Mus musculus: one gene and its partners. The protein of the gene in region 1 interacts with the protein of each later gene in a pairwise test. Links are inferred from orthologs where the notes say so. Each region holds a gene or a part of one and is shown on either strand. Other genes may lie near its edges.

Region 1 (3,500 bases):
CTGAGTAGGTGCGTGTGTGTGTGTGTGTGTGTGTGTGTCTGTAGCCAGATCAATACCATGGGATCTCTTTGGTAGGCTATAGGAGCTTTTGAGTATTCCACTCAAAGCTCCTCAATTAACTTCAAGAGTGTCCAAAATTTCATAATACAGTGATAAACAAAAACTAGGTTCCTTCCTTTACACATCTTCCTTTCATTTACTTGCCATAAGTGTGCTAGCTAGTTTGGTTTTTTCCCTTGGGGGGGGATGAGGGGGGCTGTCCTGTTGTTTGATTTGTCAACTTGACATAAGCAAGGGTCCTTTGGGAAGAGGAAAACTGTCATCACAGAGCCATCCACACCATTCCAAACAATGATTCAAACCTCTTGGCCCACAAACATACTCAAAACTGCTTACCTTGGGAAGCTTACCCCGCCGAAGGAATGATGACATAGCATCCCGGCCTGAATTAGATGGCAGTACTTCCCTGATTTCAACAGTACCATCACACAGGAAGTAATGCAGGACAAATTCTCTACGGTCCCCAAACAGTGAGGTTGAATCATCCCACAAGCAGAAGAAACGCAAAACCTTCCCATCATACTGGATGAATCGTTTCAGGGTGTCAAAAGACTGATAGGGACGAAAGGGATCCACAAACTCTAATGTCTGCAAATGGAGAAAGAGGAAGAAATGTAGCAAGCTTTATGTAGTCATGTCTGGGAGGCAGATAGTATAAAGTTTTTTTTTTTTTTCTGTAGACGATTCTGTCATCCTTTTTAAAAAGCTTTTAATTAAATACTATGCCATACAGGTATACAAATTCACAGTCAGTTTTAACCTTAAGAATACAGGTAAATATTAGGAAGCTTTTCATAATTGTTAAATAACATTTTAACATACTAAACTATATTTCCGGGTTATGTTGGAAGTGGACTTTTCTTAAAGCCTTAAATTTTATTAAGAATGAACAAACCTAATTTATAGTGAGAAACCAGAACAGTAATTGTGCCCTCCCCCGAGCCTTGAGCAGGCTGGCTCAGACCTTGTTTGCCACAGTTGCTAGCTCACCTAGGGTGGAGTCCTCTGACCTAAGTAAAGTCTACTGTCTTGCCACATCTGCTGCTTCCTCCAAGATGCCACTACCTGCTGAGAGGCTGAACCTGTTTTCCTGACAAGATCCTGACAGAGCAATGAGATCCTGGCAAAGTGGGAGATGGGTTCCTCTCTTTATAAACTCAGATTCATAAGTAATCATTGGGCCTTGATCAGAGAAATTTGTCTTGGCTCATTATTTCTCTCGCTGCCTTTCCCATCCAACCCCAGCTTGTAGTGGCCACTGGCAGCTACAAGTAATTGTTTCTGTAGAGGGGATATATCAAGAAGGAGTGTCTTCAGGAGACTGGACTAAAAAGGGAAACAAAGGAATATTTTGATGTTATGGGCAATAGTCTGTATCTTTTATTTTTTTGTTTTCTGCCATGTTGTTGAGCATCTTACACATGCTGTGGAAATGTTCTATGGGTGAGCTACATCCCCAGCCCCAAATATTTTACATCTTTTCATACTGGTTACTTTGGTGTACACATTTTCCAAACACTGACCTGCATTAACTTAAGATTTGACCTGCATTGATTTAAGATTTATAAACCCAATCCTAATCTGATTATATTTTTACTTTAAAAATGTGTCTTTCTCCGGGGCCTAGCAAACACATAAGTAGATGCTCACAGTCAGCTATTGGATGGAGCACAGGGCCCCCAATGGAGGAGCTAGAGAAAGTATCCAAGGAGCTAAAGAGATCTGCAACCCTGTAGGTGCAACAACATTATGAACTAACCAGTACCCTGGAGCTCTTGTCTTTAGCTGCATATGTATCAAAAGATGGCCTAGTAAGCCATCACTGGAAAGAGAGGCCCATTGGACTTGCAAACTTTATATGCCCCAATACAGGGGAATGCCAGGGCCAAAAAATGGGAATGGGTGGGTAGTGAAGTGGGGGGGAGGGCTTTTGGGATAGCATTCTAAATGTAATTGAGGAAAATACGTAATAATAAAAAATATTTTAAAAAATGTGTCTTTCTACCAGAAATCACTCATGTCTATGTGTATGCATGCATGTGCATGTGTACATACATGTGTGTATATGCAAAGATAAGAGAAAGAAATGTATTTGTGGTTTAATTTTGCTCAAAAAATTTCAGATATCCAAGAAATGGACATAGGAACATGGCCAATGGAGAACTTCCACTCCACACAGAAACCCTATCTAGCTAGACTCTGCTCTAGAATCATTGAGATCCATGGTCTTCTTGGAGCATCTTTCCTTCAATTTGCAACCTCTTAGCTCTGTCTTAAAGTATAGCTGCCTCCATTCTATCTTGTATAAGCAAATGATGTTGTTATGTAAGAAAAGACTCACTTGGGAAATGTTATCCCAAATTGAATTATATAATCATTCTATAAATTCCTGAAATTTTGGGTTTATTCAGGGCAGTCTAGCCTTACTCTTATTTCAAGAGGAAAACAAAAAAGCCTTCTAGAGGCTCTACTATCCTTATCCTTGATATTTAAGTGAAATTATGGGACCTCTGCTTTTATGAATTAAAATGCTTTTAATGTATAAGTGCCAAGAAATGCATTATTGGTCATATACCATTAAGATCTTGTTCAGTTTAAGCAAAATAGTTTAACTTTACATATCAATGCAGCAGCAAACACTTAACTAAATCCATAAAAGCCTCTTATTAAACTCTTAATTTTCCCAAGATTTCTATCTTTATTCATGAGTTTTCTTTGCCCTAATGGAATACCAAAATGGTTCCCAAAGTCTGAAGGAAAATTATTTAGAACATCTGAGTTTCCTTGGTATTTACCTCCAATTATTGCCACAAACTTTTTCTTCCCTAGAAGACTATAAGATCTGACAGTATGTTGAATTTTATGAAATTAATATAATTTACCATCATCCACAATCACTATCATACAGTAATAACTGTTGGTGGATACATGTAGACATATGCAAGGAGCAACAACTTATATGGTCCTTTTTCCTTCAGATTCTCTCTGAGGCTTCAAAAGACTTTGTATTTATCATTCACGGCACATGAAAGACATAAAAAATGAGCCCAAACCTCGAAAATCTTTTACATTGATATAAAGTTATTCTACCTTAGATATTCCAGGACTAATAATACATATACTTCACCGGAGGACTTTATACCTACAACATCAAAGAATAATTTGCTAAGGCGAAGAGCCAGGTATAGGGGAATGATCTCACACATAACTTTTAATGAGAGATTAAAAAACAGAATCAAAGGGAATTTCATTTTAAATTTTGTTAATCTGAAAGGAAATGAATTATAAGTTTTGAAAACAGTAAAAATCAGATAAAATCAACCTATGGAGAGAACAATTATAATAGTAGTTATCCTGAAAAATCAGGAGTGAGTGGGTTGGTGAGCTGGGGAGGGGAGTGGGATAAGTATTTTTGGAGGGGAGACAAGGAAAGGGGATAA
Region 2 (4,202 bases), on another chromosome or scaffold:
AGGATGGGGATCTTGTTCAGGACCTGGGGATGGCTGGCTAGTTCAGGGTCGCTGCAGAAACAGGCCAGCAGGGCCACGCCCAGGGCCCGGAGAACGTGGTCAGGGCAGCCATCAGGTGCCTCCTTAGTGGTCAGGAGTCGGTTGGGAAAGGTGAACCCAACGGCATCAAAGATCCTACGTCGGGTTTTGGCATCAATGTCACCTGCTTTGACTGCCTTCGTTACCTGGGGGGGGGGAGGGGGGGGAGGGTAATACACTATCAGCAGAGTGAGAAGAATTGTAGCAAAGACTGTCCCTACCCTGTTCCCTGGGCACTGCAGGAATGGGTTACGCAATGGGATCCATTCTGGGGTCATCTGGTCCAGCTCCTCCTTCCTCCTTGGAGACAAGACAGGTGTGACCTCTGGTATCCCTATCATGTCTGATTGCCTCATGGAAAGGAGTTTGTCCAGTGGCCCTTCACTACACATCTGGGCAAACGGTCATCACCTGGCCAGCTGAGGAGTGCCTCCTGGTCTCTAATCCATTAATCCATATGCCTAAGACCTGGGAGGCAAGGGGCTTCAGAACTCAAATCCTCTAAGGATTCAGGGTCCTTCCCTAAGGACTTCTCTCCAGAGAAGTCTCTGATCCATTTCCGACACCTTCTCACGGGAAATGGCTCCTGTGTCTCGTTGCTCCGCATGTCAAAACATTTCCCCTTACGTTTCGCCTAAACACCTCCTCTGCTGCAGTGTGAGCCCTTGACTCCAGAGCCTTCTCCCTGTTGCCATGGCAAACAAGCAACTGCTGCACTCCCTCCTCCCTTCACCCCCCACACACCAACTCATCCCCCCCCTCCCACCCCAAGCACTGCAGCTCCTGCTTTGCTGTCCCCAGCTTGGGTTCCTCTAGCAGACTAAGACCCTTTACTTTTGACATACTGATCATCACTCTGGTCATCTCTCAGAACCTCTTGCTAGTTACTCCCCATCCTGTTACTCTCTCAGGTCGAGGAAAAGCTACCCCGGCCCACAAGTACTCTGCACTAGTTACAACCTGCTGCTGTTACCCTATGAGTCAGCTCCCATCTGCTCCGGGACGCCCCAAAAAGCAAATCCAGGCAGCCTCCTCCGTGGTCCCATGCCACAGTCTTATTCACCCCTCTTCTCCCCTTCCCCCATTCTCAAGAGAACAGAGTACAAAGGTAGAGGTCTCAGGCCTTTTTTGGTACCTCCGGGTTGCCAATACCACTTAGATACCCCTGGAGACTTGCTGACCCCATTCTTTGGGGGCCCTCCTGACCAGCCCTCCCACCTTCCAGGTCCTTACTAGCAGCAGGGCTGCAAACTGCTCGCTGTCATTCTTGGCCTCACGGAGGGCTCCCAGGTAGCGCTCCAGGGTGGGGTTTCGGCTCTCTGCCTGGTTCAGAGCTGGCTCACAATCCGAGGCCATGATGCCCGCCTTGCCCAACTGTGAACACAAGAGGGACTGAGCATCCCTCTGCAGAGGAGGGGCGGGGGCGGGGGTGGAAGTGGAGGATGTAGGGAGGGATTAGCACAGAGGGAGGGGGGGTGGATTTGGAAGGGTGGCTTCCTCATGACTGACCTCCCTTGGGGGAGCCCCTTTAAGAGGCTGGACCTACAAATTCTTTAGGATGAAGAAGGGACCCTGGTCCAAGGTCACCTCCAGAAAAGTGGGATATGAGGACCATGCATGCCGCTGCTCAGCTGGACAGCTTTCCTCACCAGTCTAGAAGTGGGAAGGAGCTGGCCCAACTGCTCAGCAGCCCCTGGCACCAGACACCGGGTTTTATCTCTCTCCAGGAGGCACACGAGGAGTGAGCGGTGAGGACAGACAGGGAGGAATGCAGACAGACACGGGTCAAGTTCGATTATCCGGACTCACGCCGACAAGGAAGAAAAGGACATTCTAGGGTTCCTTTCCCCTCCCTTCTTCAGAGAAAGTAGACTGGCTTCAGCAGGAGTGAGAAGGCAAGCTCTCCAGAGAAGGCTTTGAAGACTCCCCTGTGGACCCACCCCTCCAGCCAGGGCTCTTAATCGCCCCCGCAGCCTCCTTGCCTTCTCTTCTTTCCCTCCCTCGGGCAGAGGCTGCAGAGGCTGCAGAGGCTGCAAGAGCAGGAGCTGCAGCTGCTGCTGCAGCAGCAGCAACATTAACCCCTTGTGCTCCCTGTACTCTCCCTGTCCGTCCCGCTAACAGCCTGTGGGTGCCGGCACTGGCTGGAGAAGGAAAGAGGGGTCGGGTGGCTCTCAGGATAACAGAATCCAAAAGCCGGATAATCGAAGCGGGGCTGCAGTGATGGAGAGATGAGAAGGGGAGAAGGGATCCTGGCGGTCACCACCTGTCCCGCCGCAGCCAGGTCACAACACGACATTGATGAAGTCGAACGACAGGGCAGCGATGAGATCACACTTCACGATGGCGCGGTGATGTCACGGAGAGATCACAGCGAAATCACGACATGAAGGGGACAGCCCCCAAATATGATAGGGCAAATTTAAAAAAATATATAGGTAGATAGATAAATACTGAAAGGGGTTGTGACAAAATGGAGTCTCGACAGGGTACGGTGATGTCGAGATATGGCACGATGGAGTCGCGATAGGGTCCCTGGGGAGTCTCGGCATCGATCAGCGCCGGTTCGGAGAGGCTCCGGCTGAGATGCAGGGGAGGGCTTGAAGGGGGCTGAGCTCACCAGGCTGCGGCCCCGAGCGGCGAAGTCTTTCTCCGGGCGCGATGCTCCGGGAGCCTGGGGCTGCTGCTCACGCCGCGTTGCCCACTCTTGGCTCCAGGCTGCTACAGCTCCACCCCCACCCCCGCATCGCTCTCGACCAATCGGCGCTGGGCTCACTCCGCACTCTGACCAATGGCACAGCAGGGCGCTAAGCAGTAGGGGGGCGCCTCCGGTGCGGCCATCTTGCTTGTGGGCAATTGCCCGAGTCTGGGGCCTGAGTGCTCGAGCTAAGGAGGAAAGGTGCGGGCCGCCCCGCAAGGGCTCGCGGCCAAAGGCTGAGGGCCCGGACGTCCTCGCTTGTGCGTAGCTCTCCCCTCAGCGCCGCCCCTCCTCCCACTTTTGGGCTCGCGGCTGGAATTGCGCTTCCGGAGGGTGGGGGCAGGAGGACTGGCTCAGCGTGAAGAGTATGTTTCCGGGTTGAGCCCCGGGAGGTGGGAAGGAGGCGGCGTTTCCGGCCGCGGTCGCTGTCCAGGGAGGCTGAGGCAAGAGGGAGCTGTCCGGGTGGGGAGCCAGCACTTCCTTCTTCCTCCTCTGCGTGAGGGGAGAGAAGGTTGGGGGTCCCCGAGCCCATGGATCGGGAGGAGGCGGAGGCCGCCGAGAGCCGGCACCCCTCTATGTGGCCCTGAGCCCCGGTAGGTGGCCGGGGCGGCTGACTGCCAGGCCGAGGACCAGGAGCTCAGGGGAGGGGCAGAGGCGGGACGGGCGATGCCTCGGGTACGCTGGTCCGGCGTTGGGACCCGGAGATGGCGCTCCTGGCTGGGACAGGACAAATCTGCTGCTTCTAGCCTTGCAGGTGCCAGAGTCCCAATCTGAACCCCTCCGCTTTGGGACTCAGGCCTGGTCAGGCAGCTCCCTCTATTCCCTGACATATGGGCAGACCAGGCTGAGGCACTGCGGTCCTTATGATACTCTCGACCTCTGCAGCCTCGTCCCGAGTTGCTGTCTCTGGTGTTTGATGATCTTCCCATCGAGATTAAAAGAAAAGAAAAGGGAAAAAAAAAAGTTGATACAGAATAAAGGGGGCGGGGCTGGGCTCGTTGGCGAAAACCTTCCTCCTTGAGAATTTTGACAATTATGCCCCTTAGAGGGTCCTGCGGTGGCTGCAGTGAGCACAAAAAGCGAACTGAAGGAAGTCAAAGTAGAAGACCTCAGGCGGGGTTCCAGGAATGCTTTGCCTGGTCTCATCTCACGGTGGTTGTGCCCAACTGACAATAGAAGCTGTTAAAGCTCCTTAGCTGACTCTCCTTGTGCTATCTTGTGATTAACAGACTGGAAACTAGGAACAAATTGGAAAGACGACCTCCTAGAACAATCTGTTCATTTTTCCAGCTATTTGGAAAACAGTGTTTGCAAATATAAGCAAAGCTATTCATGCAGTCTGTTCTGTAACTTTCTCAAACATCTAGGACTTTTTTCTTTCTTTCTTTCTTTCTTTCTTTCTTAAAGCTTTATTCTTGATTACTCACAC
Region 3 (3,685 bases), on another chromosome or scaffold:
AGAGCCAGAACTCTCTAAGGCTTAGATGTCCCACACTTGCAAGCCCCACCCAGGTAGCACAGAGGCGTTGTCTTGGAGGCCACCAGAGGGCATTAGACAGTAGAAGCCCCTTATAGGAGATATGGTTGGCCCACAGTCTGTGGCTGGACTGAGGAATGGAGGCCTGCCCCCACCCACTTGGCCAGGATCCCAGAGGCTGAGCTTCATGGGGCTCCCCACCCTCCTTGGCCATCCAGGGCACCCCGCCCAGCTCTGGCCTGACTGGTTTGGGAGACTAATCCAATCCCCTAGATCCCTGATGCCTCCGTGCTGGGGCAGCTGTAAAGGGCCCCAGGCCTTTGTTCCACACCATGGAGGAGGGTGAATTGTGCTTTGTCCAGTGGACTCTCTTGTCTTCAGCATTTGGGGACACCACCTTTAACTATGTTTCTCACCATAGGGTTGAGGTGGTGTAGTTGTGGGTCTCTGGCCATTTGGACGTTCAGGACACAATTACTTGGGGCAGAGATGCTTTATGGGGCTGCAGATGAGTGTATGGAAGTAGTGGGGCTAACGGGGGTGCACAGCAGGCTGGTAGGCAGCCAGGATCTCTGCGCTGTGTGGACACGTATACTTGAACTCCTTCTTCTGCAACGCACTGTCCAAGTAGCGACGAACGCAGGACAGTTCCGCGGGGATGGGCAGCTGGCGGAAGTGTGCACACACGGTCTGTGGGTGCAGCAGAGCGTGGTGAGGGTCTCACTCGATGGCCCCACACCCACACCCACACCCTACCCGCTGGTCCCTCACTCACATCCACAATGTGCAGCTTGGGTAGTAGACTGCAGTCAGCCAACGTGAACTGGTCACCATCGAGAAAGCGGCGGTGGGACTCACGAAGATGTGGCTCCTGTGCCAGTTCGTGGTCCAGTGGTGCACGCAGGTAGCTGTCCAGCCTGGTCAGGGCCCGGAGCAGCTGCTGATACAGGGCTTGGGGGCAATGATAACCATGAGGACTCTGTCTTGACCTTGGGTTAGCCCTCCTGCCTGGACCTGCTGGCCTGTGTCTCACCATTGTCCTGTGTAGGCACTGGGTTCTTGATGAAGGCAGAGAACTTGTGGAAGATGTCATTGCCCGCTGTGTTGGACTCCCTGTACCTGGGTGCCAGGCTAGGGAAGCTATAGGTGTGAATAGTTTGAGAATTCCAGTCAGACCCTCAAGTACACTGTGCCTCAAAGCACCCTTCCTAGGCACTCTCCCAGGTGTCCCCCAAGGAGGTCCCATCTTTGCCCTCCTGCCCACCCCATCAGATGCTCACTCAGGTGGCCCCAACGTCTCCTCCAGAAACTCCTCGATCTGCAGTGTGTCTGTCTTGACATCCCCATCGTACAGCAGGATGGGCAGCTGTGAGCCTGGTGCGAAGTCCTTCAGCACATCCAATGCCCTGTGAACACCAGGCAGAAGGGAGGTGGCTGGCCCGAGGTGGGCAGAGGCCAGGGAAGGGTCCAGGGTGGTGTCTCACCTTCGAGTGTCCACTGTGGTGAGTGTGAAGGGCACACCCTTGAGGAGTAGGACCATGAAGAGCCGCTGACAGGAAGGGCAGTGTCCTACGCTCTCGCCATCCTCACTGGCCTGGGTGGGTGGAACAGAGGTGTCAGGCTCTGAGCAGACCCAGGAATCCTGACACCTGGCTGGGTGGAGCTCTGCCTCCCACTGCCATTGGCTCTGGAGGCAGGCTAGGGCTCTGGCCTGGTTGAGCATGGCATCTACAAGTGTCTAGTGAGGGCCCTTGAACTGATCGCTGGAATGGGGAGGACAAAAGAAGTTGGGAGCTTAGAGGCCTAGGCTTGGGGTCCTGCCAGAGGGTTCCAGTCACAGAGACTGGCTGCAGGGTGGGGCAGGCCAGAGATTCATCCTCTAGTGATTAACCCACACAACTGGGTATTGAGGCTAACAGCTCAGGGAAGGGAGGGAAGAGACCAAAGAGGAGGCCAGGACCTGCTCCCACTCAGATCTGAGCACTGGCCTGATAGCTAAAAGGGCCATCTCTGGCAAGCCCCCAGTCTGGCACATGACCCTGAATCTCTACTAAATGCCAGGTGCCAGCTACCAGACTGACATCTATCTCCTCACTAAGAAGCTTTCTCCCAGAGCTGGGCCAGGTCCACGAGCCAAAGTGAAGAGCGGGACCCAGGCTCTCTGATCCTCCTTATGGTAGCTCCTCACCCAGGATGCCTGGCTCTCCTCAGCCCTGTGTGGGGCAACTCAAACCCACCACAGGGATAGGGACTTGGGCACCATTAGGAAGACCCACCCCTCCTCCCAAACAACAAGAAGAAAAAAGCCCAGCTCCTCTTCCAGCCCAGCCTGCCCAGAACCTTCACAAAGAGCTGGAGCTTGGTGGTTTCAGCCATGGTGGGAGCCGAGGCATCCGGCGGCAGCAGCAGCCCAGGGCACAGGGTGTGCCTTGGGAGCTCTTTAAGTCTCTCTGATGCCCCACCCTCCCCAGGCAGTGGGCCCGCCCCAAGGAGCCACCTAGGCAACAGACAGGTTTCCAGAGCAGAGCCTGTATAAGACCAGAGTGTCCGTGCTACCAGTGACCACAGGAGGCCTGAGTCTCAGGGCCAGGTGTGAGTATGGGAAGTTGGCTCACAGCAAAACACTGAAGCCTCAGTGTGGTTGTGAGGGGAGCTAGTGTGGTGAACGCACACTGGGTTGATCTCAGCTCAGGAGTTGCCTCACAGCCTTCTGCGGCTCATTCTCCATTGTCAAGTCCTTATCCCAGAAAGCCAGCCAGGGGGTGGGAATGAGTGGGAAATGCCTCAGTTTACCTGTCTGTGTGACAAGCCGAGGGAGATGCCCCCTCCCTCTGACAAAACCCAGTCAGGTAGGGCGGACCCGCATTCCAAACATGTTCGCGGCCGGCAGGCTGATAAGCCTGGTTTTGGTGTTTAACCCATCTGAGCAGTGGACTCCGTGCCCCCATCCTGTCCACACAGGCTCAGAGCAGCTTTCTTACTCTTAACCTTGACCTTCAGTTGGCACCAGGAAGGGTTAGAAACTACTACCTAGTGGCTGAAATGGGGATGAGGTCCCCAGCAGGAAGGAAAGGGCCAGTATGGTCTGACCCTACCAGGCACAAATCTGCCATTGGGCCTTCCCAAGCCCACTGGGCTTCACAGTGGGAGTGCCTTTGGCATTCTTTGTATCTCGGCCTGCGTTTCACAGCAGCAGCCATCTAGGAGAGCTGTTCTTTAGAACCTGTGCTCACAGAGGACCAGCACTGCCCACTGGCTAAGACCAGGACCTAGGGATTGCTTTCCTGTCTCTGGTAGGCTGGTGCCTTCCAGGCTACACCGTGCAGCCAAGGTGGCTCCATACCTGCCCACTCACCTGCTCACGTGCCTGACTCCTAGTCAGGGCCTCAGCTGTGCCAGGCTTCCCTCCTCCTTAGCCCTGCCTTGTCATTTCCCTGACCTCAGCCAGAGTTGAAGTGAAACACAGCTCTGATATCCTTGGAACCTGGATTTGTGTTGGAGGCTTGGTTCCTCCTCTATCCGACTCTTGACTCCTAGAGCCAGTTTTATTTTGGCTTCTTACTGACATGGTCAGCTTTCTGTTTTGTGGTTTTCTGTCCTTTGCAGATGACAAATCATCACTGTGGGGCAGCCCTGAAGCCTTTCCCAACTGCCAGTGGTCACCAGA

Evidence for each region. The genes of interacting proteins can lie anywhere in the genome.
Region 2: the proteins of Efhc2 (region 1) and Ncdn interact in binary tests that used the Homo sapiens proteins (3 or more experiments, as listed by UniProt). The two-hybrid records come from large-scale screens. The link is inferred for Mus musculus from reciprocal best matches to the Homo sapiens genes EFHC2 and NCDN.
Region 3: the proteins of Efhc2 (region 1) and Clic3 interact in binary tests that used the Homo sapiens proteins (3 or more experiments, as listed by UniProt). The two-hybrid records come from large-scale screens. The link is inferred for Mus musculus from reciprocal best matches to the Homo sapiens genes EFHC2 and CLIC3.

What each region holds. Positions count from the first base shown.
Region 1 is NC_000086.7:17,225,942-17,229,441, forward strand, and holds part of Efhc2 (EF-hand domain-containing family member C2), read right to left. Parts: intron 649-3,500; coding exon 397-648; intron 1-396. UniProt on the Homo sapiens protein: Microtubule inner protein (MIP) part of the dynein-decorated doublet microtubules (DMTs) in cilia axoneme, which is required for motile cilia beating.
Region 2 is NC_000070.6:126,750,630-126,754,831, forward strand, and holds the start of Ncdn (neurochondrin), read right to left. Parts: upstream 2,801-4,202; 5' UTR 2,375-2,800; coding exon 2,342-2,374; intron 1,939-2,341; exon of another isoform or gene 1,888-1,938; intron 1,453-1,887; coding exon 1,312-1,452; intron 225-1,311; coding exon 1-224. UniProt on the Homo sapiens protein: Probably involved in signal transduction in the nervous system, via increasing cell surface localization of GRM5/mGluR5 and positively regulating its signaling. Required for the spatial learning process.
Region 3 is NC_000068.7:25,455,588-25,459,272, reverse strand, and holds Clic3 (chloride intracellular channel protein 3), read right to left. Parts: upstream 2,431-3,685; 5' UTR 2,395-2,430; coding exon 2,359-2,394; intron 1,842-2,358; exon of another isoform or gene 1,742-1,841; coding exon of another isoform or gene 1,613-1,741; coding exon 1,503-1,612; intron 1,425-1,502; coding exon 1,299-1,424; intron 1,159-1,298; coding exon 1,052-1,158; intron 970-1,051; coding exon 794-969; intron 709-793; coding exon 550-708; 3' UTR 501-549; downstream 1-500. UniProt on the Homo sapiens protein: In the soluble state, catalyzes glutaredoxin-like thiol disulfide exchange reactions with reduced glutathione as electron donor.